7 linked regions of the Ovis aries genome follow. The protein of the gene in region 4 interacts with the protein of the main gene of each other region in a biochemical or structural test. Links are inferred from orthologs where the notes say so. Each region holds a gene or a part of one and is shown on either strand. Other genes may lie near its edges. The genes, in order: CASP3, SKP2, PSMA3, CDKN1A, CCNA1, CCND3 and SCML2.

Region 1 (3,218 bases), on a different chromosome or scaffold from region 4:
GCTGGAAACATCTAGTTGTTTGGGTTTTTTTTTCATATGTGTTGCTGTTGCTGCTGCTAAGTCACTTCAGTAGTGTCCGACTCTTTGCAACCCCATAGACAGCAGCCCACCAGGCTCTGCTGTCAATGGGACTCTCCAGGCAAGAACACTGGAGTGGGTTGCCATTTCCTTCTCCAATGCATGAAAGTGAAAAGTGAAAGTGAAGTCGCTCAGTCGTGTCAGACTCTTAGCAACCCCATGGGCTGCAGCCTACCAGGCTCCTCCACCCATGGGATTTTCCAGGCAAGAGTACTGGAGTGGGGTGCCATTGCCTCCTCCATATATGTTAAGTTTATCTGAGTGCCTTCCCCCTGCTATGCCTAATACTTTAGATTTTTAAATCTGAGGGCATTGTTCAGTCAGTCCATACATGCATGTGGAAGGTGCTCTAAGGGATGAAGAAAGTCCAGGACTACGGGGTACAGGCCACACAGCAGCTGCAGAGCCTTGTTCGAGTTCTGCTGGACTCTTCTTGCTGTGGGTCCCACATCTCTGCAGATGAAGCCGGTCATGATCATGGTTTCATGGTCGTCGGAAGGCTTAGACGCTTTTGAACAGTGTTAATGTGGCCTAGTGGTTTATGGGGTTTTTTTTGTTTCCCCCAAAAAGATACGATGAAACTACTGATGTATCTTAGAATTGTTGAAAACTTAGAATCAAAGAAATAGTTGCTCTGAGTGTGTGAGGTGTGTGTTGATATATACGTCTGTGTATGGTGATGTGTATGTGTTTGTGTATGTTTATGTGTGTGTGTATAATTTTTTCTTAAAAGTAGGATCCTTTTATTTTCTACTCTTTTTTTTTTCTTTTAATAATAGTGACCATTTTCCTATGGCAAAATTTTGTCTACAAAATTTCAGTGGCAACATAATATCCCATATTATAAATGAATTGTAATTTATTTAACCAAACCTCTCTTTTTAGGCATTTAAGTCATTTGTTTATCACTATCTAAGCAGCTGTGAAAAACATCTTTGTGACTGTAACAGAGAACACAGATAACAGATTATATCATGAAGTGTCTTGTATACGAAGAAATGAAAGCGACTTAGTGTCACCACTGTCAGAATATTGAATTTCCTTAGCATTTGAAAGGAAGAGTTTCTTGTGGATTGTGTGGATCCCTGAATAGTTCATTTCAAAGCAGTTTATCTTTTTTTTTCATGCAATTAAAAGTAGCTTTCTGTTCAAGGCATGGCCTGTCGGTCCGGTACAGACGTGGATGCAGCAAACCTCAGGGAAACCTTCACGAGCTTGAAATACGAAGTCAGGATTAAAAACGATCTTACACGTAAAGAAATGTTGGAATTAATGAGCGACGGTAAGAAATAATGAAAAGAATGACCTTCATTTCCAATGTATGTACAATCTAGCTATAACCTACATGAAAGTAAAGCATGAGAATTGTGAAACTAAAGAGTACACAGCCCTACTCTGTACATTTTATGTAAGTCCGAGTTATTCATACCGACTCCCTAGAGTAGTCTGAGGTGTGTTGCTCTGCTGCTCTGCCCCAAGCTGGGCTTACACGATCTCTTAGTTCAGTTCTCAGATTTCTTCATCTTACTCCCATACAGTACATATGAAATTGTTGAATAAAATTGCATTGGTTTTTTTTGCCTATAAATGTTTTTCCAGTTTCTAAGGAAGACCATAGCAAAAGGAGCAGTTTTATTTGCGTGCTTCTAAGCCATGGTGAAGAAGGAATCATTTTTGGAACCAATGGACCCGTCGATCTGAAAAAATTAGCAAGTTTCTTCAGAGGGGACTGTTGCAGAAGTCTGACTGGAAAACCCAAACTTTTCATTATTCAGGTAATAGATAACTGAGCGATTTGGTTATTGAGGCTTCTTTAGGGATTAATTTACTCCATTGTGGATTATCCAAAGGATTTTTAATTTTTTTTTTCCTTGAAGCTACTAAACTATTGCTACTTTTTTATTTATTTAAACCACTGCTTAGGAGACATAGCATAAACTTTAATTTTTAGACTTCTAGCAAAATGATTCTTAATAATTAACATCAGTTTTTATAGAGCCTTTGCATTTCTTAGGGATAAGTTACACATTTATGCATGTACACACATTTTTTTCCAATAAATGTTTCTTTTCTTTTTTTTTCTAATTTTTAAATAGGTGTTTATTTTCTAACCTCTAGGCCTGCCGAGGCACAGAACTGGACTGTGGTATTGAGACAGACAGTGGTTCTGAGGACGACATGGCCTGTCAGAAAATACCAGTTGAGGCAGACTTCTTGTATGCATATTCTACAGCACCTGGTAAGAAACTTACAGATACTGAAATAGGTAGATTTTAAACACTGAAGAGTGTGTTCCAAAGGCTATAGGGATTTTGATATCCATAAAAAGCCACTGTGTCTTGTTTTAGGGTGCCCTAACCACGGAGAAGTCTCAAAAAGTTGTCTTTAGCCCAGTTTGGCTAGAAAATGTGCCTGTGTAAGAAAGCACATTTGCACAGTGTCATTCATGAACTTGACACCACCTGGAATCCATATTATAATACAGGCCAAGTCAGAGCTTCGCCCACTTCCTAAAATAGGAGAGAGGTGTGTTTTCCAGGAATTCTTTGGGAGCTAGGAAACTGAAAGGATAAACATGAATAGCATATCAGTGGGTAGAAGTGGAACAAGAGAAAATAAGGTTAAAAATGATTTATGGCTAGGTTATCAACCTGCGCTTTGTCTCTGGTTGTATTACACGTTATGTGTGTGAGCGCTTGTCATCATATAAATTAATATATATTGATCATGGACTTGTTTACTCATACAACTAACTCAGGGTGTGTTTGGAAATACAGGGCAAGTGTATTTTTAAACAGTATAACATTTTTAAATATAGTTGATATGATTTATTTTAACCTCCAGGCATCTTTCCAGTTCAGATTAAAAGCAGTGGATCCAGGGACTTCCCGGTAATCCAGTGGTTAAGACTTGGTGCTTTCACTACTGTGGGCCCGGGTTCCATTCCCAGGTCCAGGAATTAGGTCCCCCAAGCCACTCAACGTGGCCAAAAACACAGCAATGAATCCACTAGTTTATCTGGGAAAATAACGATAAATACACTATTTCCCCTTTTTGGACTTTTGAATATGCTATAATGTGTTTATTATACTCCATTCTTTCCCTGTAGACAAATTTAAGACCCTCAAATGTATGTGCGT
Region 2 (4,019 bases), on a different chromosome or scaffold from region 4:
AATATCAAAATCTATCCAGAAGCTGCTTAGCACCACTCTCACACCTCTCAACAAGTCTCTAAGCTTTTATCCTCAAGCCCTCAAAGTTTAGTCTCAAGACACCAGTGTATCCTTTTCAAAGGTTACATAGCAACTCTGCTCAACTGTACCTCTAGCCCAGTTCTCACTATTCTCCCCTCTGCTGTTCTACTCTTGGAATATGGCTTCCTTGCTGTTCCTTGAACAAACACATCATTCTCCTGCTCCAGGGCCTTTGCACTACCTGCTCCTTCTGCTTGGGGCTCTTTTCTCCAAGATATTTGCATGGCACATTCCTTCATCTCCTTTATGCCTTTGCTTACAGCTCACTGTCCAAGTGAGGCTTCTTCAATATCCTGCAAACCAGCTTCCCATCCCAGGATCTCTTGTCCCTCTAGGCGTGTTCTATTTTTGTTTTTAGCCATAGCACTTATTCTAACATACTACACACCAGATTTGTGCATACTGCATCCTCTTTCTAGAAGAGAAGCTCCATGAGGGTAGAAATGCTTTTATTGTGCTCACTGCTATATCCCCAGTACTTAGAACAATGCCTAGCAGACGCAATGTGCTCAGCAAATATTTGCTGAATTAATGTTTTACATGGCTTGCCAGTAAGAAAAACTGATAACCCCAGGTCAACGCACTATGTTTACCCTATGGTTCTGAGTATTCCTGGAGCTCTGATCCACGGTGGGAGGCAGTTATAAATCAGCTTGAGAAGCCTGGAAACAGAGAGCTATTTAGAGGGGAATGACGTAGTGGAGTTCTACATTTCAATCAGTCCACTCTAGCTCTGGGGGATGGATCTGGGGAGGATAAGGCTCTGAATTATGAGTCCCTTCCTAAATATGAGAAATATTTAGGAGACAAGAGGGAAAGATTCAATGATTGGTTGGATTTTGGGGGGGGATGGTGGGAATCTGACTGACCTTTAGGTTATGGGGTTGGGGAAACTGAACAGATAACACAGTGAGTGATGGAGACAGCATAAAGAATTCCTCTTGGGAATGGATCTGTAAGGATGAGTCTCTCCCCCTTAGCTCAACATTCACTTCAGCAGTCCTTTGATAAATAACTAAAGTGATTATGGTAAAAGGCTCAACAGCGGCTACAGAGCAGCCAAATATAAACAAAAAGAATTCTATGGATCATTGCTTTGTTTCTATTTGTCAGAGGTATTGAGCTGGCCCTTAACCAGGCAGAGTCCCTCCTAAAGAAAAAGGAAGGAATGTCTTTTCACCGGTTACAAGTCAGTTCTGTCTCTGAAGACACACACATACCACCATTTCTGTAAGCACAACCAGTGGTCTGGTTTCTTTGGAAAATAACTTAGGAATTGGGCAGTTTTAAAAGGACCCTATCTGGCCTTCCCTGGTGGCTCAGAGGTAAAGAATCTGCCTGCCAATGCAGCAGTCACTGGTTCGATCCCTGATCTGGGAAGAGATCCCGCACGCAGCAGAGCAACTGAGCCCCCAGCGCCACAGTAATTGAGGCTGTGTTCTAAAGCCTGGAACCCGCAACTGCCGAGTCCACGTGCTCCAACTACCGAAGCCCCTGCGTCCTAGAGCCCATGCTCCCCCAAAGAGAAGTCTCTGCAACTGGAGAAAAGCCGGGGCAACAAGGAAGACCCAGCACGGACAAAAATAAATAAATAAATTTAAATTACAATTTCTTTAGAAGGGCCCCACCCCATGCTAAATAACCCTAAACAAAGGTCTACCGACAAAATAACCGGTCAATTTAATCCACCATTGACTGGGCTTGTATTTTACCCTCAAACCTTACCTGGAAAGTTCTCTCGGTTTAGCTTAGGTCTGCGGACAATCACAAAGTCCTTGTCATTTCCTTTGCTTTTCAGCCGTTTTCGTGGGGGACTCTGTGGGTGGCCCAGGTTTGAAAGCAGTTCCTGGGGGATGTTCTCACTGTCCACCTCCTCCTTCTCCAGGGCGGAGACCCCCATGCCTGAAAGCAGTTCAGAAGTCTTGCTAGAATCCCATCCCCACGTGAAACTGGTGGTAACGTTGCTACTCTGGTCGGGTATCTCCTGGAGGTGTTTCCTGCAGAAACGCACAATAGCCCCACGTTCCTTTCAAAAACACGCCCGTAAATAATTCCCAGACAGGCCTAAAGGAAGCTGCAAGCTATGCACCGCAGAAAGCTTTCACAGCAGTTAACTGAACTGCATTTTTACGTGCCGGCGGCGAGTCCCCAAGAATAAAAGAGAAAATAACCGAACACATCGAAAAGGCTTTTCGATTTCCGATCATGCAGAAGGCCTCAAGAATTTCTTAAAAGTGGAGGGAACATACAAGGAAAGAGGCAGGGCAATCACACACTGATTGAAAACAGCAGCAGGAAAGCCCAATAAGGGAAGACAAATAACATCCACGCTGACCACCGCACTAAAGCATCCACCCATCCACGTTTTCCCAAAGAGGCTAAGCAGCCATTCACATTACAGCATTACTAACAATATTAGCCAAGTAGCAAAACACGCGGCCTAAAAGAATTAAGACGGTCCATTCATGTTCTGTCTCCTTCTGCAATCGGTTTACCTGTGCATGGCGTCCGCAGGTTCGGGAGTTTTAAATGCGTGCATTAATTGCAGAGGTGCCCGCCCCCCGAATTCCCGCTTTGGCGCGCGGCGGCGCACTGCGTGCGGCGCACTGCGTGCGGCCCCGGCTTGCTGCAGCGAAACCCGCGAACTCTATCAACGTTCCATCCCAGCAGCGCGCGCAGAATTCTCCAGCCAGCCGGCTCTCCTCCGCAGCCGTCGTCTGCGGCCCCGCTGCCTGCTGGGAATTGTAGTTTCTGCCCAGCCTGGTAGTCCGGCTGCCTCGCCACTACTTCCTTTCCTTGCAGCTTTGCCGCCTTCGAGATACCCACAACCCCGCGCGGCTGCGGGACCGGACGACCCACAGGGTAGGCGGGGAAGCGGAAGTGGGCGGTGCTCCGGCTAACTGGGGAAATGTCAGCTGCTTGACTGGGGTTCGGGTTTCCTTTCTCGGGACCCCCCGACCTTTTGGTGACTGCCGCCGCTGTCGCCAAGGAGTGTGGGTCCCAAACCCTGTAAGGCTGTGGCGGCCGCGGGGTTTCCAGGCCCTTCTGGACGCTGTCCGGCGAGATCGGACGGTGAGCCCGAGGAGGAGAGCGTGAGGCACTTTGAGGTGTGGGGCCGAGCGCGGACTGAGGGGGGCCCCGGAGACCCCGAGAGGCCGCCGTCGCGGGGCCTACGTCCCAGGTAGCTGAGTGGAGGCCGTGGCACGCCCTGCCGGCCAGGTGAGAGGCTGCGGCCGTGGGCGTCACACCTGCTCCCCTCTCTGCCTGGAGCTGCGTACTCCACCCGGGTGAGGGCGGCCCTAAGGACTAGGTCTGTGGACAGGATCCTTTCCTTACGTGTAAAATAGGCACCACGGCAAGAACGCTCGTTTCACAGTCGCCGTCAAATCAGAGGAGGCTCGTGAGAGCGTTTTGTAAACGAAAGCGCGGTTCAAACGTCAGGCGGAGGTTTAATTTTAGGGGAGCAGGAGATTGCTGTGAGTGCCAGGGGAAAGCTCAGCATCTCCGGCAGCCTTGAGAAGTCTCATAAATGCTAGCATGAGAACAAATAAGGTGACTATTGTTTGCAAAAGGCTTTCCGTGCCACGCTAGCGGCCACCAGCAAAACCATTCGATTACTGTCTCAAAAAAAAAAAAAAAAAAAATTCTGTTTGCCTCACGTCCTAAAAGTCAGCTGCTTGCTTTTAGACTATATCCACGGAGAAAAGTTTGGAGATGGTTAGAGAGTGCCATTTTCTGGGTAGGATGACCGTGCGAAATCCATTGTGCAAATGTTCTATAACTGCGAGCCTGGGAAAACAGTGGAAGAGAGAGGGGGAATAACTTCCAACCCTAGTAAAAATGGAGAGGATTTATAAAGTTCAGAAAGAAGCACCCAGCGTCATCACAAAAATACTAGAATATCACTTAAGCATGCTGTGTGGCATACCTTCTTATTT
Region 3 (4,076 bases), on a different chromosome or scaffold from region 4:
GTAAAACATTGTTTCTTACCTACTATTTTCCACAGCCTTCATAGCATATTCAACTTGAAAAACTCTTCCATCCGGAGAGAATGTAGAAGCTGACAGATCATACTACAAGGAAAAGGCAATAACAAGCTTAGAAGGATGCACCTTTGGCAGTAATAACAATTTTTTCCTAAATGGTTTACACATCAGAAATATATGTTCAATCTCAGTGAAGATTTTGCTGTAAAGAGAAAGGGAAAGTATGTCAAAGCAGGAACAGCAGCTAAGAGAAAAGTTACACACTAGATTTCTGCTATTGACAAGCAATGAACACAAGTCCTGGGTAAAGTCAGAACTTTTCCCACACAGAACATGGCTCATTTCTGAAAAAATTACCATTACCAGTGTAGAAACAACACTGGCTTCTCTTTAGTACCACAGCTTCTCATAGCTGTGGCAGTAATGAACTAAAGGAGCTTGGATACATCATTCAGCATTCAGATATTTAATAAGCATCTATTATATGTCAGTCACTATGAGAAAATACAAAGACTACTCATTCTTAAAGTCCTTCATTTTCAAATCAGACCTCAAACAGATCCAGGTGCTGGAGATAAAAGGTTCTAAAATAAGACAAAGTGAACTTATGGTCTCAGGGAATACCACAGACTACCTGATCAGGAAAGGCATTGCTACAGAAATTATATTTATGTTATTTAAGCTGAGCCAGACCTAAAAGACAAGTAACTACTCATTTAGAATATGGAGGAGTGTCCTGGCATCTGGCATAAAAGAACTCAGGGTAGAAACAAGAGCAGCAAAATTAAGAAAAGGAAATAATAATGCCACTGAATCTTGAGCACCATAAATGGTAAACAGAACAGTAAACTATATTAGAGGCATATAAGGGCCAAGTTATGCTAAGTCTTTTATTTTAGGCTGGAACAGGAAGTTTACGTTTTATTCTAAATGCAATAGAAAGTCATTGGAGTTTGGGTGGGGTGAGGGGAAGAGGTTCTAATTTTTTATTAAATGCTGTTCATCTGGTAAATGAATTACAGAGAAAACAAGAGTGGAAGCAGAGATAGGGTAATCCAAAGGGAGTGTCTTAGACAAGAGAGAAAGACGTGGAAGGTGTTACCCTTTGAGTGTGCAGTCAAAAAAACCTTGCTAATGGATTGGCTTTAGGAATACAGTAAAAAAGAACTCAGAAGTGCACCATAGATTTTTTTTTTTCATTTAAGCAACTAAAATTGAACCATTCACTGAAATGTAAATTGTAGGAGATGCAAAATGGCAACAGAAGAAGAAAACTCAGAGATCTACTCTGGACGTGTCATTTGAAATGCCTATCAAATAATCAAGTGGAGAGAAATGTCAAGACAGGTCTTCCCATCTGGAGTTCTTGGGACAAGACAAGCGTTAAGTCTTCAATAGTGGTGTTTCTTGCCTCTCAGCTTGTTGGTCTGTTAAAGGAAGATCTTTAACTCTACCAGCATTAATACCAAAACATCTCACCTATTTATATTATCAAACATTTTTAAAGGGTTTGTATAACCTTTCAGAACACTATTAATCTAGGGTAATTGGTCTGTTGGTCTGCCGAACGAAGATCTTTACCACCGTAATACTCAAAATTTATCACCTATTTATATTACCAAATATTTTTAAAATGTTTGTAGAACCCTTCAGAACACTATTAATCCAGGGTAATATTAATGTAGTTGCAAAGTCAATGAGCATCAACTAATCCAAAAACAGTATGACAACCTTAGTATAAATTGTCTATTATCTAACTCGGAAAACCAGTATTTGGGCCTAATGGTGAGAATCAAAATCTAATGCACAATGGGAGTAGATGAACTGAGAAACCCATTACCCAATGCCTCTAGTGGAACCAATGAATAAATATTTCTAAACACTATGTTTTCTATATGGGGAAATACATAAAAGGAACAAGCTGAAGACTGTATATATGCAGTACGTTTAACAAAGGAAAGTTAGTAGGCCGAACAAGTTAACAAATCTAACTCCAAAATCCTGGACAGTCTGTTCAAAGAAGCGGTTAAGTCCGTAGCTAATCATTTAAACGCTTACGGTGCCGAGACCTCACACTGTTGTTATTCCTCTAGGAGAAAAGCTGGGACAACGGAAAAATGTAAAAGATTCTTCAGATTCCGCTTTTTAGACAATTTTCCTTGTCAGTTCTCAGAAGGTTTCAGGGACTCATACAGAGAGGTCCATCGGTAACCTCGAAGCTAAGGCAGAGAATCCCCGGGAGTCAGCAGCATCCCAGGAACCGCAAGGGTGGGGAGGCGGGGAGAGGTTCTTGGAAAGCGGCGTCACAAACTTTGGACTCTTAAGCCTCCTTGCCTCAGTGGTGCTCAAGAGCTTAATTGTTGCCCAAGTCCTTCACAGCGCGTGCACACACACCATTTCAGGCCTCAAGAGTTTCCACTTTCGGTTTCCCTAAGTGGCTAAAGAAAGTGACTCAGCAACCTTTTAAAGAGGCTCCAAATCTCACTGCTGCGCGGCCAAGCCCGCTACACCTGAGCTGAGAAGCGTCAAGTCACGGTCACCGCAGGCGCGGGCCTAGACCGTCCGGCACTGCACAACTGGAAGCGGCCCACCTGCCCCCAGGCAGTCCCAGAGGACCCCGAGTCCGCGCACCCACCGCGGTCTGTCTGCGTTCCCTTCCACGCTAATCCTTAGCCTATCACACAGAGAAACAAAGAACTCACCCCGGTGCCGATTGAGCTCATGGTGCCAAAATCACTAGGACGCTTATGGCTTCAGGCCTAAAGCGATCCCCCAGCACCACAGTAAGAGACTAGTAACAAGCTCTCTCATTGACTATTCTTTCAACCAATAGTCTTTTCTGTAGCTCGTTCCTGGAGCGTTGGTCCACGGAACAGAGGATTGTGGGAAAGGAGGGGGCGGGAAATGCACCCGGCAAGTAACGCGCATGTGCAAAAGCAATCTCACCGGGGTTAGGTAGGCTCTTGGTTGTTTCGTCTTCGGTTTGAGTTCGTAGATTCGTTCTGTCTTCTGGTTGCTTGAGAAGCTCCGCCAGTCCTTTTCCTAGAATTATTATTTATCTTTTATCCTTCTCTTTCGCTTCCTTATTTTTTTTTTTTAAAGCAAAACGGAGAGATGTTCTCATACCCTTACAAAGGCCAGAGAAAACGGTAAGGGAGAGGTCTCCCTCCACCATTGGCGGCCTGGTTCTAACCCAATATGTTGAAGCAACCCTATCATCCACCTATTCTAACAAGAAGGAAGAAAGTTGTATTCTTGCATTCTAAGGGTATCACCTCTGGGCTTAGGTCGGAATTTTACAGGATTAGTACCCTTTGTATAACTCTAGTAGAATTGAGGATAAGCTTGATTAAATATTATTTGTTGAACTCTGTATGTCCCAAATACTCAAGTTACATCCTGCTGATGAAACGATGAAAGGGACGGCACCTCATCCTTTACACTCAATGGGAAGAAACAAGCAACAGGGAGTAAATGGGCAAATAGTTGCACCTTTTGGTAAAAAAAAAAAGAGAGAGAGACAATGGACGTTTGAACTTTAAACCTGTTATTTAAGGAATGACTTTCCGAATGGGTGATACTTAAATGGAAATTTGGGATTGTTATCTCAGTATAAGCTTGGCTTATAGGAACTGTCAGGTCAGTATGGCCTTAAGCGGGAGAGAGTGACAGGAAATGAAATCAGAGAGGTGGATATGGAATCAGATTTCATAATAGTTCGAATTTTAATCTGATTTTAAATGGAAAGCTGTCAGCATTTTTTAAACTGCTAAATACTTCCGTGTGTATTTCCCCCAAAAGAACATCATTTTAAATATCCACACTGTAACTGTGAAAATAGAAAAGTACCATTCCTTTTTTTTTTTTTTAATCTGCAGACTTTGTTTACAGATTTTGGCAAATCCCTCAATAATGCCCTTCACAGCCAAAGAAAATCCAAGATCACATGTTGTATTCAGTTGTCATGTCTCTAGTCTCCTTTAATCTGGAAACACTTTCTTAATATTTCTTTAGATTTCATGGCATTAACACTATTGACAAAAAACATTTGCTTTATAAGA
Region 4 (3,728 bases):
ACTGCAGCCTACCAGGCTGCTCCGCCCATGGGATTTTCCAGGCAAGAACACTGGAGTGGGTTGCCATTTCCTTCTCCAATGCATGAAAGTGAAAAGTGAAAGTGAAGTTGCTCAGTCGTGTCCAGCTCTTAGCGACCCCATGGACTGCAGCCTACCAGGCTGCTCCGCCCATGGGATTTTCCAGGCAAGAGTGCTGGAGTGGGGTGCCATTGCCTTCTCCGAGCAAAGAATGAGGAGGGTTTAAATAACGGTTCATATAATAAAAATACCTAGCAATCTAATAAGCCTATTTTTTCTGCTAATTTTTTTCTTTTTTAAATAATTCCAGAGGCTGGGGGTGTGGGAAGGGTGGCAGCAAGCAGGGTATGTACAAGAGGAGGCGTTTAAATTAAAACACAAATAATAATTAAGACGCACAAACTGAAGGACCAAGGCAAAAGGTACAGAAGAGGCCTGCAGTGGGCCCCTGTTTCCACGAGGACGTGCTTCCAGCAGCGGGGTTAGGGCTTCCTCTTGGAGCAGATCAGCCTGCGTTTGGAGTGGTAGAAATCTGGGGGGAGAGAACAGATGTCAGCCAGGTCAGGAGGAAGAGGGCCCAGCAGAGCCACCTGCGCAGTGCAACCTGCAGAGGGGCCAGGGACCCCTCCCCAGGGCCCGAGAGACACATTGCCAAGTATAGGGAAGAACTCTGGAAACTTCTAGCCTCTCTCCCGGAGGGCTACATACATACAGGACATCCCCCCACGCTTCACAGACGTGATCAATAACAGACTTTACATGCATGGGCCTGCTTTAAGCCAAGCTGCCCAAATGCAGTGGTCGCTAACCCTAGGCGGCTGTTTAAATTAACTAGCATTAGACTAATAGAAAAATTTAGTTCCTCATGGCAAACACTCAGCAGTGATATGTGGCCAGCGGTACTGGGCATCTGCTTCTTTGCAGAGCCTGATATATCAGAGAGCGTTCTGCATGATGTCTGAGCCATATAAAGGTTAGTTATTATTATTATCATTATTGTTAGTTTTGACCCAGCTGCAAATGTGCTGTGGGATTCTTGGCTGCACTGCTCCAAGCTTCCATTTCCTCACCTATAAAATGAGGATAACGCTGGTACGATGCTCAGAGGATTAAATGAAATGTTTCCGGAAAGACCTTGGTGGGGACTTCCCTGGTGGTCCAGTGGCTAAGACTCCTTGCGCTCAACAGAGGTGGCCTGGGTTCTGTCCTTGCTCAGGGAATTAAGATCCCACAAGCCGTACAGCCAAAATAATAACAGTAATACATTTGTAAAGTAAAAAATAAAAAGACGTTGGCTGAAGGCCTGGCATAGTGTTCAACTGCCAGCCTCACTTATTCCATTTCCCTCAAGCACCTACTATGTGTCACACACCATCCAAGGTGCTGAGGACTCAATTATGAACAAGAGAGATACAGATTTCTTTCTTGTGGAGATGATAGGATTCTATTTGGGAAGATGGACTATATCAAAATATGGAAGTAGCTGTTGATAGTTTAAAAAGTGCCAAAAAGAGAAAAATAGGCTAGGAAGTGCAGGTGAAGGTGTGTATGTATGAAGGGGAAGGCGAGTTAGGTTTGGATAAGGCAGCCAGGAAATTATCATTCATTTACTCTCCATGGTAAATTCAGTGTGGGACCTAAGGCAAACCATTCTACCTCTCAGAGTCCTGTTCCTTTGCCTGTAAAAGGATGCCAAGAATGTCCTATGATATTAGATCACTATAAGGACTAAAAGAAATCTAGACACTTATCAAAGGTCCTGGCACATAGTCAATGTTCCAAATAAATGTCAGCTAATTGGTCTTGGTAGTAGACTTGCTGTGTGACCTCAGGCAAGCCACTTCCCCTCTCTGGGCCTGTTTCCCACCCCTCAGAGCGATGAGTAAGCTGGGCCAGACAGGTCAGCCCTGGCACAGTGAGTTCTGGGAGTCCTAATCCCTTGCCGCCACCTCTGCTCCCGTCCTCACCTGTCATGCTGGTCTGGCGCCGTTTCCGGCCCTGGGAGGGACCAGGCCCACCAGGGGTCCCCTCGGGCCGCTCAGGGGAGCGAGTCACGAGGGTGCAGGACAGCGACAGGTCCAAGTGGTCCTCCTGAGACGTGCCCTGCAGCAGGGCGGATGAGGGGCTCGGCCGCTTGCCCCCTCCCACATCGTCTCGGGGCCCCACGGGCAGGTAGAGCTTGGGCAGGCCGAGGCCCCTCACACGCTCCCAGGCAAAGTCCCCCTCCAGGGGCGTCTCGGTGACAAAGTCGAAGTTCCATCGCTCTCGGGCCTCCTGCACGCAGCTGGCCATGAGGGCGTCGCAGTCCTGGCGCAGCTGCTCGCTGTCCACTGGACCAAAGAGGCAGCGGCAGGCCTTGCTGCTGCGGGGGATCTGATGCGCGTCCCTGGACGGCTCAGACATGGCACCTGTGGCTGGAACACAAGGAAGACCCGGGGCACGTGAGACACTCAGGAAGTCGGACGCTCCCTCTCTGGGCCATGCCACTGCGTAACCTCAGGCGCAGTCTCCTTACTAGAAAGTGAGGTGAGAGGGGCTCTCGGGTTCCTCCCACAGGCTCTCCCAACCTCCACCCACAGAAAGGGTGTGAGGGGCAGAGTCAGTCAGCCTGACACCCCCAGGTCACTGGGGGAGTGGGCAGCTGAAGGGCAAGTTTATGTCAACAAAGGCAAGTTTATTGCAATAGCAGGGATCAGGGTCCTGTTTACCACTGGGTGTTATCAGCTAAAATCAATTTGTTTTTCCCACTGAGGTGTCCCTCATGGGTGTGAATGCCCCCAGGTATGTGTGAATTGTCAGAGTCCAGCAGTTTCCTAACTCCAGGCCTGGCCGGGGAGGTCAATTCCCAAGAAAATGGATGCCTCCTCTCAAATCCCTCCATCTAGATGCTCATGTGGAGTAATCCTGCTCAGTGACTTAAAACTACTCTGGATTTTGGGGTTAAAAGCACCTGGGTTCTAGTCCTCGCTCTGCCACTTCCTACCTCAACTTTCAAAGAGTCACTTCAAGTCCCCCGGCCTCAGTTTCCTCATCTGTAAAATGGGACTGCATACATGTCTAAAGAGTGGGGCTGTAGACGCAGGCTCAAGGAAATGATTGGCGGGCCCCGCCAGGCAAGGCAGATGGAGCAGAGTTCAACGGCTGTATCTTGGTGGTTCAAGGTGAGGGCTTTGGAACCAGGCCACTTGGGTTGGAATCCAGGCTCTGCTGGGCAACCTTCGACAAGTGGCTTAACTTCTCTGGGTTCTGTTTTCCTCCTGTATAAGATGGAGATTTCCATGTGTAGAGTTGTCTCTTGTGTATGTTGGACGAGGGTGTTTGCTGTAACTAGTGCGTTCCCTTGGCAAAACTCCATTTGCCCTGCTTCACTTTGTACTCCAAGGCTAAACTTGCCTGTAACTCCAGGTACCTCCTGAGTTCCTACTTTTACATTCCAGTCGCCTATGATGAAAGGGACATCTATTTCTGGTGTCATTTCTAGAAGGAGATAACAACAGCGACTGTCTCAGAGGCCAGATGTGAGAATTCGCTAAGCGGTTGTAGATAACGCCCTCTGAGCCGTACCAAGTACAGAGAAAGTGTTTGGAGAATATTATTTCTCTCTGCCTTTAGTTCTGGCTGACTCCTCCCCATCACTCCACCTGGGCCACCGCCTCCTTCAGACAGCAGCTGACAGGTGTTGTGGGCTGAGGGCCTTTCCCAAGGATGTC
Region 5 (4,289 bases), on a different chromosome or scaffold from region 4:
GAAGAAAGGATGAGTATGAGGTTTCTGGTCACTTTCCTCAATCAAGTAAATCATATCAAAAGGGATGTACAGAGCATCAGGTCACAGGAGGGCACAGAAGTGAAAGTGAAAGGCACTCAGTCGTGTCCAACTCTTTTCGACTCCAGGGACTATAGTCCACCAGGCTCCTCTGTCCATGGAATTCTCCAGGCAAGAATACTGGAGTGGGTAGCCATTCACTTCTCCAGGGGATCTTCCCAACCCAGGGCTCAAACTGGGTCTCCAGCATTACAGGAAGATTCTCTACCGTTTGAGCCTCTAGCTCCTGCCAAAGTAACCCTGGCTCTTGGAAAGACCTGCTCCTGAGTCCCTAACAGAGTCCACCCCTGACGCCTTTAGAGTCTCCAGAAGTCACAATAGTGTGGTCAGATGATGGAAGCCTCCCCAGAAGACTTCCAAAAGCAGCACCAGATGAGAAGGGGGCAGAAAGGCTCTTTTCCTCACCAGATAGCAGCACCTTGCAAAACCAAGCATTTGGGGCCTACCTACATATGTTGCCACAATTTGAGTTGTTACCAGAGCTGCTGTGTTGCCTTCATATCCGAAGGCATAGGAATTCCAGGGTGCAAAGGGATCGCTGCTTCCCAATGAATGAAAGTGGGTAATAAATGTGTAGAAGTTAGTTTCACATTAAAATCCATTTCTATTTTCCTTGGGCATCCAGGAGTGATTTGCAAGATGCCTCCTAACTGCCTCTTAACACCTGATTCAATCGCTTTCATCCTCATTTCCTGTAGAATACTTCAATTTTCCCATTAAAGTAATGCATACACATCGCTGAGTGAGCCCATTAATAAAGAATACTTAAGAAAAAACTGGGAGAGGTGTAAGATTAGCAATTATTTTCATTCAAAACAAGGAAGAAGGAAATAACGAGTTCTTAAAAAACGACCATTTGAATGGTTTCCATTATCTGTTTTATGGATGGGAACTTAGAGATGGGAATATTTAAAAATTAAAAACAGACAAAAGCAGTAACGTGTGTGTGTGTGCACAACAACATTTTCAAAAAAATAATAAAGGTAAAGATTCTTATACTTGGCTCTCTAGTTACCTCTGCAAGTTCCAGGGCTCCCTAGTTTCCAAGGACCCCCCCCCCCTTCCCTTCCTGCGTGGCCAAGGCCCCTTCTCCCTACCCTCACCTCTTACCCCCAAATTAGGCCCCCTGCTTCCACCCTACCCTGCCGCGGACCCCGGATCCAAGGATTTCCTTCCCACGTGACCAGGCCACCTGCCCAGTCCCTGGTTCCCAGCCTCCCCGCTATCCCCTCTCAACGTCCCAGACCCCGTCGCTGCCACTCGCGTTCCTTCCTCTTCCTGGGCCAGCTTCACGCTGGGGCTGCCGGAACCGTCGAGGAAGGTCTCTCTCCTGGGGACCTAGAGCACCACGTGCGACCCTAAAACCCCAGGTCTCCTCTCCCGCCCTGTCGGGTTACATGCACCGGAACCCAGGTCGGCCAGGCGTGGCCTCCGGTGCGCAAGGACCCAAAATGACCGAGAACACGCCGCCACCACGGACTGAGGCCGCGACTCCAACCAGAGGCCCGCTCGCTGCCACTTGGCTTTTCTCTGGGAGTAGGCTTAGGTGTGTGAGCTGGGGGAAAGGGGAGTGAGCCGCGCTGTCTGCCCGGCGCGGTCAAGGCGCCGCGGCCTCAGCAGCCCCGAGGGCCCCGCGTCGCCCTCCCGGGCCAAGGTTCTCAGGAGCGGGCCGCGGAAAAGACGTTAGCGGGAGGAGTTAGCGGCTGTTGGGGAACCGGTTCAAGTAAAAACAGTCCCTTCCAAACCCCGGCCATCGCGGGGCGGGCCTGCTTCTTCCCTTACAGATATCGGCCACAGTGGGGGCGTGGGCCGCGGCCACCGCGGCCGCCCGCCCAGACACGCCCGGGCAGGGCCGCTTAGGAGGGGCTCAGGGCCGCCGCCGGTTGGCCCCACCCAGCCCTGAACGCCCAAGGGTCGCGGTGCGTCCTCGGGTGCTGAGGTAGCCATAGAGATGAGGCCGCAGAGCGCGCACGCCCCCCTGCGGTTGGCATGGAAACGGCCCCCGCGAGGCCCGGGAGCTGCGCTGATTGGCCGATTCAACAGACGCGGGGGCCGGCGAGGGGCGGGGGGAGTTGAAAGTAATTAGCTCTGAGCTGGGCAGCAGACGCTGGGAGCCCAGCGCCCCGGCTAGAATCTATTAACACCTCCGTCCCCTTCCGCCCCGCCCCGCCCCGGCCCCGCCCCCTTCATTGGACCCTTATTCCCAATCCTCGTGTGCATTTGCTAATTGTTCGAGACTTATGTGTAAAGAGATAAGACTGAGAAGAGCGAGGTCCGCTGTGGGTTCCAAGCAGATTTTGGGGCCTTCTGTCTTGTGGGAGGAAGGCCGCGGAAGAGCACTCTGCTTGTCACTTGAGAAGGGGACGTACTTTCCCACAGTGATGTATCCTGGGTCACTGGTTTGCAGGGAAGGGGGTGGTGGAGTAATGGATAAGCATCACAGCCAGGAAAGACACGGGCTTGTAGGTTTGAACTCCCCACTAATGTGGGGGTTAGTGTCTTGGCTTGGAGGTTTGTCATATTCTTCTCTTCTTCCAGCCATCAGCCAGGTATTGGAAGAAAGGCTGGAGAGATTCAAATCATCGTTTTGGTTTAAAGCGGCTTTGATCACTTGCACTGTGGCTCAGGCCCTTTCAACCCTAATAACAGCAAGGAAGATCATGTGTCACAGGGCTGTGTCTTCTAGAGAGTCTCAGCATCCTTGGATCCTTATCCTTCGTGGAAGAGGCTGACTAACTGGCTTGTCTGTTTCTCCTTCCTTGACAGCAGTAAGCTGTGGAGACTGAGGCTATGCATCTCAGCAGCTCCAAGAGTGGAGTAGTGCTGGCTCCAGTGTCCCGAGGTCCTGATGCCTGTCAGATGATAACCAGAGGCCAGTTCGGCCAGGATCCGCCACAAAGAACAGTACTAGGAGTGCTAACTGAGAATGGGCAGTACAGGAGGACCTGTGGCCAGGTAATGCCTGGGAAGAGCTGGGAAGGCCCCCGTGTCTTGGTGGGAAGTGGGATCTCTTGAGATTTTCTGCACAAACTCCCCTTGAGTATTCAGCCCTGGAATCTGGCCTATAGGGGCACTGATTTTTTAAAAGAGCACTTTGTAAGGTCCCTTTTTCAGCTAGCAATATTAAATAATTTTCTTTGTTATTAGGAACTGTTTAAGTCAAATATGTGTAAAGTCACTTAAAAGAAAGTGAAAGTGAAGTCACTCAGTCGTTTCCAACTCTTTGTGACCCTGTGGACTGTAGCCTACCAGGCTTCTCCACCCATGGGATTCTCCAGGCAAGAATACTGGAGTGGGTTGCCATTTGCTTCTCCAGGGGATCTTCCCGACCCAGGGATTGAACCTGGGTCTCCTGCATTGCAGGCAGACGCTTCACCCTCAGCCACCAGGGAAGCACTTAAGTTCCGGGCTAAAAGGACATTGTGAATGCACCAAAATAAACTATTGTTGTTCAGTTGCGAAGGTGTGTCCAGCTCTTTGCGACCCCATGGACTGTAGCCTGCCAAGCTTCTTTACCCATGGAATTTCCCAGGCAAGAATACTGGAGTGGGTTGTGATTTCTTTCTCCAAAATTAACTTGTGGTACTGGTGTTTCTCTAGATCAGAATGGTATTCAGATTGACCTAGGCTGTGCCCTGAAGCATCTCCGATAACCTTTAAGTTCATTGGTGATGGTATTAGAATCAGGATTGGATCCCAGCATACTAGATTACTTACAAATGTGTGCTTTGAAAGTCAGCTTCTCCCCAGGACTGATAATGGACAGTTGGGCAGAAGATCATGGGCCATCTAATGTCCGGTTGCTTGTGCTTAATTAATCATAGGCACCTCCCTTAACAGAATGTAAACAGAGGGTAAATAAATTCAACACTTAAAATGCAAATAAGGAGTTTGGATCCTTAAGAATGAATTTTGAGATTAAAAAAACAACAACAACAAAACTTCCTCAAGTCTGTCATCACACCAGCTTCTCATAAGCTTGTACTGCATATCTATTGGCGGTAGTATAGTGGAGTAGGTGGGCAGGTATCCTTTCCATTGTACAGGTGAGAAAATTTGAGAGGTTTGAGAAAGCCTTCCCACCCAAATAAAAGTCATGATGGAGGCCAGATCAGAAGCTTCTCATCTACTGACTACTCCTACTCCTCTTCTACACAATGACACAAGTCATTTGTGTCTTGGTGGCATCTGGTTAGTGGGAGAAAATTACC
Region 6 (4,300 bases), about 5.1 Mb from region 4:
CCAACTCTGACCTTCTAGGAAGTCATCGATCGGCACGCTCCACCCCCAGCTCAGGCAGGGGGAGTGGGAGGAGAGGACTTTTGGCCTGTTCTGAAAAACTGCCCTCACATAAAGGCACACATCCCATGCTCATCTTTTCACAAAAATGAAGTCCCCTTCCACCAGCCCAAACTCCTTCAGAAACATCTTGCTCTCTAGCCCTGGAAACCAGCTCCACCTTCAGACTTGCCCCAAACTACCAGATTCATCACAAAGAGCTGTGGAGCCTCCCAGATTCCCAGCTCTGGCCTCCTACTCCCATATCCGAGAGCTACTTGGCAGGAAGAGGAATCCCGTTCCCCGACAAGCAGCACTCAGGGGCCCCAGTACCCTGGCTTTCCTGGCCAGCCAATCACAGCAGCCAGCACGCTGCCCTCCTCCCCGGGAGATGGGGCCCAGAGACGCCTCTCGGGTCAAGAGAAGACTCGACTGCTGTAGAGCAAGATGGAGGAAGGTGCCAGCTCACCCCTCTCCCCTGGGTCCCCCGAGAGATGATCTGCACGCTCCCAAATAACCTCTTCCAAATCCAAGCAACTCCCCACCTCCTCTCCAGGCTCAATGGGGAAAGAGAACCATGACTCCCCTGCCCTGCCTCGGGAAGAGCCCAGCCCAAGTTCCCAGCAAGAGGCCCAGGGAGCCACTTCCCAAACCACAGGAGTGACAGCAGCTCCCCACAGGGTTATGAAAGACCTTGGTCAGGGTGGGTGGGCCAGGGGAGAGGGCATCATTATCACATCGGAAGCAGCTGCAGTTCAGCCCCAGTCTGTGCCTCAGCACTTGCCTTTGGCTAAAGGGGAAAAGATGATTCCACCAGGCCTGAAGCAGCTGCTTCTGAGAGCAATTTCTCAGGGTGAGACTAGGGAATGGAGAATGAGGGAAGGAGCTGGTTCTCCTGGGATATAAAAGGAAGGAAGGAAGCAAAGTGGGATGGAACTCCTCGGCCCTTCCTTACAGCAGCTGGGGCCTGGCTTTAATCAGCTCTGGGAGACTTTTTGATCACAAAGTCCACACACTGGGAGACAAGATTCAACCCGGGCGGCCCCTTCCCCCACGTGAAGCACGTTCCACTCCCCCACTCCAGTGGGGGTGCACAGGCATGCCCTGCTGCTGCCAATAAATAACTCCTGGTGGCTGTGTAAACCCAGAGGCAAAGTTCTGGTGAGTGTAGACATGCAGTTTGACTTGTTGCTATCTGGGGGAAAGACCATGAAGGAGTGGCACCCCCTGGAGGTCAAGACAGGGGATCTGGTTCATGCTGGGAGTGCAAGCCTGAACTGGGGCCACCCTGACCATCACACCACACTGTCCCATCTTTTGTCAAAAGAAAAAGAAAAAAAGCTGCTACCCTGCACAGGGGCAGAAAGCCTCCCGAGGTCTCAGCTTCCCCCATCCTGGTACGTTAGGAAGGAGGCAGGGGGTGCTGGCAGGTGGGGAGGGTATGCACGCACCCGCAGCTGGCGCGGGGAGACAGAATGGTCGGTGTAGATGCACAGCTTCTCGATGGTCAGGGGCGTTGTCTCGCGCAGCTTGGAGGCCAGCAGCATGCAGACCGCACCCAGGAGCTGCAACTGCGCCTTTCGGGTGGGGACGCAGGACAGGTAGCGATCCAGGTAGTTCATGGCCAGGGGGAAGACTTCCTCTTCACAGCGCTGCTCCTCACACACCTGGGGGAGGGCGCACAGTCACTTCGGGGGCAGAGGCTTAGGAAACGCAGCAGCAACTAAAGGCGAGGGGTGCGGTGCGCTGAAGGGAAGTGGAATGGGGAGCAAGACACGGGAGGGGGTAGGTGTACTCACAGTGACAAGGACTAACACGCAGGATGCGCCTTCCCCAAGGTGACACCCTCCCACTTCCTCTGCGGTGCCTCCTTTCCCCGGGGGTGGGAGTGGGGGGGGGGGGCGGAGCGGGATACGCCAGAGGCTCCCTTCCTTCAGGAATCCAAACTGAGGCTGATCTGCACCCCCCGTACCAAGGGAGAGGGGTTCGGAAGAGTCACCCATAGAAGCCAGAGAACTGGGACCTTACCCCCATTACTGCCACCCAGTGCACACACCCAAAAGGAAGGGAGGAGACTCCAGCGGCTGCCTCCCGCACTTTCCATTTCCCTGACGGCCGGAACAGCGCGCCACCCCCACCGGCTTCCCCGCCAGAACCCCCGCGACACACACAAGGAACCAGCTCTGCGGCGGGGGCGGCCGAGCCCAGGGTTTTCCAGGCGCGCTCTCCAGAGAAGACCGGGCGTGCGGTGGGGGCGGGGGGAGGCTTTTGAGAGAAGTCAGAGGGGAGAGGGTGGCCCTCGCCCCGCTTTCCCCGCCCGAAGACAGGGTTATTTGGGGGTGCCAAATGCCTGGCGGTCAGGGTCAGAGAAGGGCAAGAAAAAGACAGCACCGAGGCAGCCGGCTAAGGGCGCGCGAGTGAAAAGTCCAGGCCCCGGGGATCTGCGCCACAGAAACATCTTGCTGATTGTTGCTGAGGACCAGGATGTCCCGACAGGGCGGCCCCGGGATGTCCGGAGCCCGGGACGCGGGGGTGACGGGGGAGGGGAGACCCGCCCAGGCGGTACCTCCAGCATCCAGTACGCCAGCATCTTCCGCATGTGCGGCTTGATCTCCCTCTGCACACACTGGAAGTAAGAGGCGCGGGGCACGTAGCGCTCCTCCAGGCGGAGCAAGCTCTGCAGGACACGCTGGTCCCCTAGCAGCCGCGGGTCCGGCCCGGCCCGGGGCGCGTGCCGAGTGCCCTCGCAGCACAGCAGCTCCATCCTCGGGCAGCGCGCGGGCAGGGCGGGAGTGCGGGCTCGGGAGCCAGAACGCAGGCGGCGGGCCGGAGAGCGCGGGGCGCGGGACTGTGGCGCTGTCGCTGGCACTGCGCGGCCGAGCCTCAGCCCGCCCCCGCCGCCGCGCGCGCGCCGCTTCCCTGACAGGCGCCCCGCCCCTCGAGACCGAGTAGCAACCGTGGAATGCTCAGACGTCGCGACGCTCCGGGGGCGGGGCCTCCGGCGCCCGGACGGAAAGGGCTGGCGGGCGCTCCCCCTCCCCCGGGCGACCGCATTGGTCGGCTGGGCGCGGGCCGCCGGCTTCCGGGCGCTCCGGATCCTTTTGACCACCCGGTGCTAGAGGAGTGTGCTTTGGAGGTGGGCCTCTCCTCGCCCCCCGCCCCCACCTCCGAGCCCTTCCATTTTTGCATCTCCCGACTCCAGGCGCCCCGAAAGGTTATTCATTCATTCGTCAAACTCTACTTCACCCGCTGCTTGCTCTAGGAAAAGTAAATAATAATAAAATAGCTAGATCTTAGGGGAGACTGGTCTGAGCACTTATTAAAATCTTAATGAAGAAGCTGTGGGTTAGGTCTTATACTGATTTTGCAGTTGAGGAAACTGAAGCAGTAACTATAATAATAGTTCGTCTGCGGCAGAGCTAGGATTGGGAAGCCGACGGTCTGCCCCCAGAATCTCTGCTCTACCCCGTGGCTACTTAAACTGATCCCCGAACCAGCCTGAGAGCGGGTCAGAAAAGCAGAACCTCAGGCCCATCCCCTGACCTACTGGATCAAAATCTGCCTTTAACCAGATCCCTGGTGATTCCTGTACACACTAAAGTGTGAGAAGAGACAGTCCTAAATCCGCACGCTTGAGAACTACAACAGGGCGGAAGGGTCATGGATTCAAGGCCTCACCTTGTCTGTCATTAAGTTGGGTGTGTGGCCTTGGACAAACCCTGACGTTGGCCTTAGTTTCCGTTTGAGGAAATGATGGGCGGAGAAACTGCCTCCTTTCTAGAGGAGTTTCTTGCTCAGATTGTATAAAATCTTTCAGGCGCCACTTTTACCTCCCAAGCTTTGGGACTTTGCAGCGTTTCCAGAGCTGGATTCCGCGTGACCAGGAGGCAAACACACCACAAGCCTCCAGTAATGCTCCAAATGGCAGGAGGCCATGGGGATCCCTGCCTTTCCTGGGGTCCTCCAAGGAGGTGAGACACTAAGGAAGTTAATTACTAGAGAAATGACACTCTATAGAAAGAGGTCAGTCCTGCGCTAAGCATTATCCCAGTGAATTGTTCTTTTTTATACAATAAATTTTTTGCTGTTTGCATATCACGGAAATATTCAATGCATTGTAGAAGACAGAAAATACCAATGTCACACAAAAAAGTAAAGAGTAAGTACTGGCAGTTTCACCATCCAGATTGTTGTCCTTCAGTCACTAAGTCATATCCAACTCTTTGAGACCCCATGGACTGCAGCATGCCAGGCTTCCCTGTCC
Region 7 (3,500 bases), on a different chromosome or scaffold from region 4:
ATGTAAGTTGTGTTATATTAAAATGGAAACTAAACTATTCAAAAGCATCTCATGAGCAAATTGGCAAAAATTGTATTTTTTTATTATGTGGTATCACAATGCATACTAGTCAGCATGTATTGCTATATATTTCATATTTTTAATTAATAAACTCTAAAAAGTAATTTGAAAAAATAATGATTATAAATTTGGTTATGTGTCTGAAATGCTGACAATCACCACAGCTGTTTCCTTTAAACAAAATACAAACACATACTAGCATACTGTCAATAGAGAAATAAAACCCAAACATGGAAGCACTAAGCCTCAGATGTATATCTGTTACAGAAGTCTGTATGATTTAAGATATTATAAAAATAAGCAATAAAAAAATTTGAATGTTATGAAGAAAAGGGGAAAAGCAGAAAACACACATATCCTAAACCATCTTCTTGGGAATAACACATACTTGATTAGTTTTTAAAAATACTTTAAACCAAGTTAGTATTAATTAACCATTAGAAGAAAGACAATATAAAATGATGTTATTAGAAAAAACAGTTATTACTGTCTTAAATTTTTTATTCTCACAGCTTCTTTCACTAGTTGGAGACAAAAAAAATTAACTGTCTCACTGTGCATTATAATAGAGCATTTACATTTTAGCATTATAAAAAAGAAACAAAAACCAATACCCACCATTCACTCAGAATGTGCAAGTAATAAACTAAATACTTATATTCTACAGAATACCATGGTACACCAAAGTATTAAAACAGAAAAATTTTTGCACAAAATTAGGGTCATGTACTTTGTTTCTTTTAAAAACTTGGTTAAAATCAAGAATTTTATATTAAAAACCTTTGCTGAAGTGTTACATCAATCTCTTCCTTTACAAAGACCTAAAGTAACTGATTCCTACCCCTCTCACTATGATTTCTTCCCATACAGGTGTAATGAAATTCCCAAGCCTAACACTGGCGTCCCAGTGTAAAATCATCTCCTTCTGCCATGCTAATCCCCATAACAAAAAGGATGAATGGCTCATTAGACAATACTGAGGGAGGAAGTGACTCATATCGAATGCTACAAACTTCTCCCCCAGAAGGGTTTCTGAATCTGCAAGTGTAATCTGCTTTTGACATTTCAAGTTTTAAGGCAGAAGGAGTCTTGCTCTGGAGTGGGAACCTTTAGCCACACATATGCCAAAATATGTACTTAAATGAAACTCTATAACATATGGTACTGAGTTACTTTCTCAAACCTTCTCCACAGTAACCACCTGACCGTCTGTTTGCCAGAATGCCTAGGAGAAGAGATTTTCAAAGGGTCAGTTAAAATTATTTCTACTGAATATTACATTAGCAAAAATATTTTGTTTTAAAACTGTTTATCCTTACCCAGTGGAGGCTGAAGTAAGTCCCCTTCCTTTTCACATGTCCCAACAGGCTGTATGTCTGGAGAATCAACCAGCCGCCAAAAGTCATTTTGGTTATCACTACCATCCAATCTTAAACGCAGCCTGGCACCTGTAACTCCAACAACTGTAGCAATACATACTGAAGTCGTATTGCGAGGGTCATGGGCTTCCAACTTCATGCCAACTTTGAAGTCATTAGCTGGTGGAATCTTAGACTATATACATAAACACATACAAATAAAATTCTGTTAAAACTCTTTAACTGTAGGAAAATCAAACGGTCAGTTATGTTACCAGAATACATGAGGAACATTTTAAGTAACAGTTACAACAGTTGGTGAACAAAATGAGAGCTGTAAGGGTTAACAAAAAGATCTCCAAATTCTCTCCTTGGCTTGACACACAGCCTGACATGGCTGCCCACTGCTTGTCACTCACTCATCTGCCCACTTCCAGGCAAACCAAATACAACCTCTAAAATGCATCCTGAGTGCCTTTCTAATATAAGAATTTGATTAGGCCTTTACTCTTAAAGTAAGCCAAAAGGCAGCTTACCACTGCCTAATGTAAAGTCCAAACAGTCAGTATAGTTTAAAAGCCACCACACTTTAACCTCACTCCCATACTTAGGTCTCTATCTACTTAGTGCTCCAGCCACCCATACCATCCCTCAACACTCAGGTTCTTTTACGCCCATGTCTCTTTCCTTTGGATGTTCTCTCTGCCTGGAATATCCTTCCCCTCATTACAACTACCTCAGATAGGACCTCTTCTGTGAGTCCTTTCCAGTATAGTTATCACACTTTTTATCATTAATTATTTACATGGCTACCTTTCCCTCCAGATGGGCAGTCATAAGAGCTTAGTATACCTGACATAAAGTAAATTCTTAATCAATGAATGCGAAGAGACCATCTGGTTCTTAAGCAGCACTCCCACAATCCCACATTGCTTCACACTAATAGAACCTAATAACAGATTCCCTTCAACAAGTTAATAGTTTACAAAAATAAATATAACATGGTATCTACAGAATTTTGGCATACCTGTCTGAAATACTCTGAAGGAGCACTTAAAGATCCAGTCTCTTCCAAGTATTTTTCCCATTGAAAATTATCTGGAAAAAAACATGCAAAAATAGGTGGTTTTTTTGGTTTATTTTTGGGCCCCACCAGCATAGCTTATGGGATCTTAGTTCCCCAATCAGACAGCAAACCCAGGCCCATGTCAGTGAAAGTATCAAGTCTTAACCACTGGATTGCCAGAGAATTCTCAGGGTTTTTAAAACATATATAATATGTATACTAACTTTCAGGAATAAAATGGATTTTAGTTCCATATCTCTTTAAAGAAATACTTCTCAAAGGACAAATACAAACTTCCTCATCTGACTACCAGCATGGAAATAAAAAATAAGACCATTTCCTGATAATAATGGTTCTGATATAAATGATAATCCAGATTTTCTTGATGTAATGAGGACTGCATCACAGTGATTCTAAAAACGTGAACTCTAGAAACAACTAAAGGACTTTTTATAGCGTAATAGCAAATTCTACTCATATGTCTCTAATACTAATTTACTCAAAATATGTCTTTATCATTTCATCTCACTATTCTGAAGCTATTTCTTTGTTTTTCACAGGGATCTAAAGGTGTGTGGCATAGCAGAAATAAAGCATTAATTTATGGAAAGAAAAACTCTGAGAACCAGCGTTGTTTCTCAATTGACTATTAGATCTCCATCCAGGGTGTCAGAATATGGTGGCAGAATAAAGCAGAAACCAGTCATCAGTGCAATGACTAACACAGATTGTTGTAACAATCTATATTTTCTGCAAACTCCTTCTGTTCTTTCTCTCACTTAGTCTTGATGACATATAATGCTAGAAGTAAAGGTCAAAAGGCAGTACACTTTTCCCGGACACTTCAATTGACTGTGTCAGTCACAATGCCCTGAAAGACTTGACAGCAGTATTAAAGGTACTATTAACTCATATAAACTTTAATTCTCATCAAACATGAGGGTTTTTTTTTTTCTATACTCCCTGTTTAATTAATCTCTTTACTATAAAAATATTAGGGCTCCACAGTTCCCTCC

Evidence for each region.
Region 1: of the proteins of CDKN1A (region 4) and CASP3, one has a biochemical effect on the other in vitro, tested with the Homo sapiens proteins (3 studies listed by BioGRID). The link is inferred for Ovis aries from reciprocal best matches to the Homo sapiens genes CDKN1A and CASP3.
Region 2: of the proteins of CDKN1A (region 4) and SKP2, one has a biochemical effect on the other in vitro, tested with the Homo sapiens proteins (3 studies listed by BioGRID). The link is inferred for Ovis aries from reciprocal best matches to the Homo sapiens genes CDKN1A and SKP2.
Region 3: the proteins of CDKN1A (region 4) and PSMA3 form a complex in vitro, tested with the Homo sapiens proteins (4 studies listed by BioGRID). The link is inferred for Ovis aries from reciprocal best matches to the Homo sapiens genes CDKN1A and PSMA3.
Region 5: the proteins of CDKN1A (region 4) and CCNA1 form a complex in vitro, tested with the Homo sapiens proteins (2 studies listed by BioGRID and IntAct, with this or other methods). The link is inferred for Ovis aries from reciprocal best matches to the Homo sapiens genes CDKN1A and CCNA1.
Region 6: the proteins of CDKN1A (region 4) and CCND3 form a complex in vitro, tested with the Homo sapiens proteins (2 studies listed by BioGRID and IntAct, with this or other methods). The link is inferred for Ovis aries from reciprocal best matches to the Homo sapiens genes CDKN1A and CCND3.
Region 7: the proteins of CDKN1A (region 4) and SCML2 form a complex in vitro, tested with the Homo sapiens proteins (2 studies listed by BioGRID and IntAct). The link is inferred for Ovis aries from reciprocal best matches to the Homo sapiens genes CDKN1A and SCML2.

Annotation. Positions count from the first base shown.
Region 1 is NC_056079.1:14,236,275-14,239,492, reverse strand, and holds part of CASP3 (caspase-3), read left to right. Parts: intron 1-1,231; coding exon 1,232-1,360; intron 1,361-1,677; coding exon 1,678-1,853; intron 1,854-2,196; coding exon 2,197-2,317; intron 2,318-3,218. UniProt on the Homo sapiens protein: Thiol protease that acts as a major effector caspase involved in the execution phase of apoptosis. Following cleavage and activation by initiator caspases (CASP8, CASP9 and/or CASP10), mediates execution of apoptosis by catalyzing cleavage of many proteins.
Region 2 is NC_056069.1:38,233,650-38,237,668, forward strand, and holds the start of SKP2 (S-phase kinase-associated protein 2), read right to left. Parts: upstream 2,801-4,019; 5' UTR 2,621-2,800; coding exon 2,577-2,620; exon of another isoform or gene 2,493-2,576; intron 2,079-2,492; coding exon 1,807-2,078; intron 1-1,806. UniProt on the Homo sapiens protein: Substrate recognition component of a SCF (SKP1-CUL1-F-box protein) E3 ubiquitin-protein ligase complex which mediates the ubiquitination and subsequent proteasomal degradation of target proteins involved in cell cycle progression, signal transduction and transcription.
Region 3 is NC_056060.1:68,603,469-68,607,544, reverse strand, and holds the start of PSMA3 (proteasome subunit alpha type-3), read right to left. Parts: upstream 2,801-4,076; 5' UTR 2,739-2,800; coding exon 2,718-2,738; intron 103-2,717; coding exon 20-102; intron 1-19. UniProt on the Homo sapiens protein: Component of the 20S core proteasome complex involved in the proteolytic degradation of most intracellular proteins. This complex plays numerous essential roles within the cell by associating with different regulatory particles.
Region 4 is NC_056073.1:10,679,769-10,683,496, reverse strand, and holds CDKN1A (cyclin-dependent kinase inhibitor 1), read right to left. Parts: upstream 2,422-3,728; coding exon 1,986-2,421; coding exon of another isoform or gene 1,789-1,985; exon of another isoform or gene 551-1,788; coding exon 501-550; downstream 1-500. UniProt on the Homo sapiens protein: Plays an important role in controlling cell cycle progression and DNA damage-induced G2 arrest. Involved in p53/TP53 mediated inhibition of cellular proliferation in response to DNA damage.
Region 5 is NC_056063.1:25,417,567-25,421,855, reverse strand, and holds the start of CCNA1 (cyclin-A1), read left to right. Parts: upstream 1-1,489; 5' UTR 1,490-1,624; intron 1,625-2,152; exon of another isoform or gene 2,153-2,844; 5' UTR 2,845-2,868; coding exon 2,869-3,033; intron 3,034-4,289. UniProt on the Homo sapiens protein: May be involved in the control of the cell cycle at the G1/S (start) and G2/M (mitosis) transitions. May primarily function in the control of the germline meiotic cell cycle and additionally in the control of mitotic cell cycle in some somatic cells.
Region 6 is NC_056073.1:15,737,031-15,741,330, forward strand, and holds the start of CCND3 (G1/S-specific cyclin-D3), read right to left. Parts: upstream 2,801-4,300; coding exon 2,603-2,800; intron 1,704-2,602; coding exon 1,488-1,703; intron 1-1,487. UniProt on the Homo sapiens protein: Regulatory component of the cyclin D3-CDK4 (DC) complex that phosphorylates and inhibits members of the retinoblastoma (RB) protein family including RB1 and regulates the cell-cycle during G(1)/S transition.
Region 7 is NC_056080.1:16,602,931-16,606,430, forward strand, and holds part of SCML2 (sex comb on midleg-like protein 2), read right to left. Parts: intron 2,517-3,500; coding exon 2,446-2,516; intron 1,615-2,445; coding exon 1,380-1,614; intron 1-1,379. UniProt on the Homo sapiens protein: Putative Polycomb group (PcG) protein. PcG proteins act by forming multiprotein complexes, which are required to maintain the transcriptionally repressive state of homeotic genes throughout development.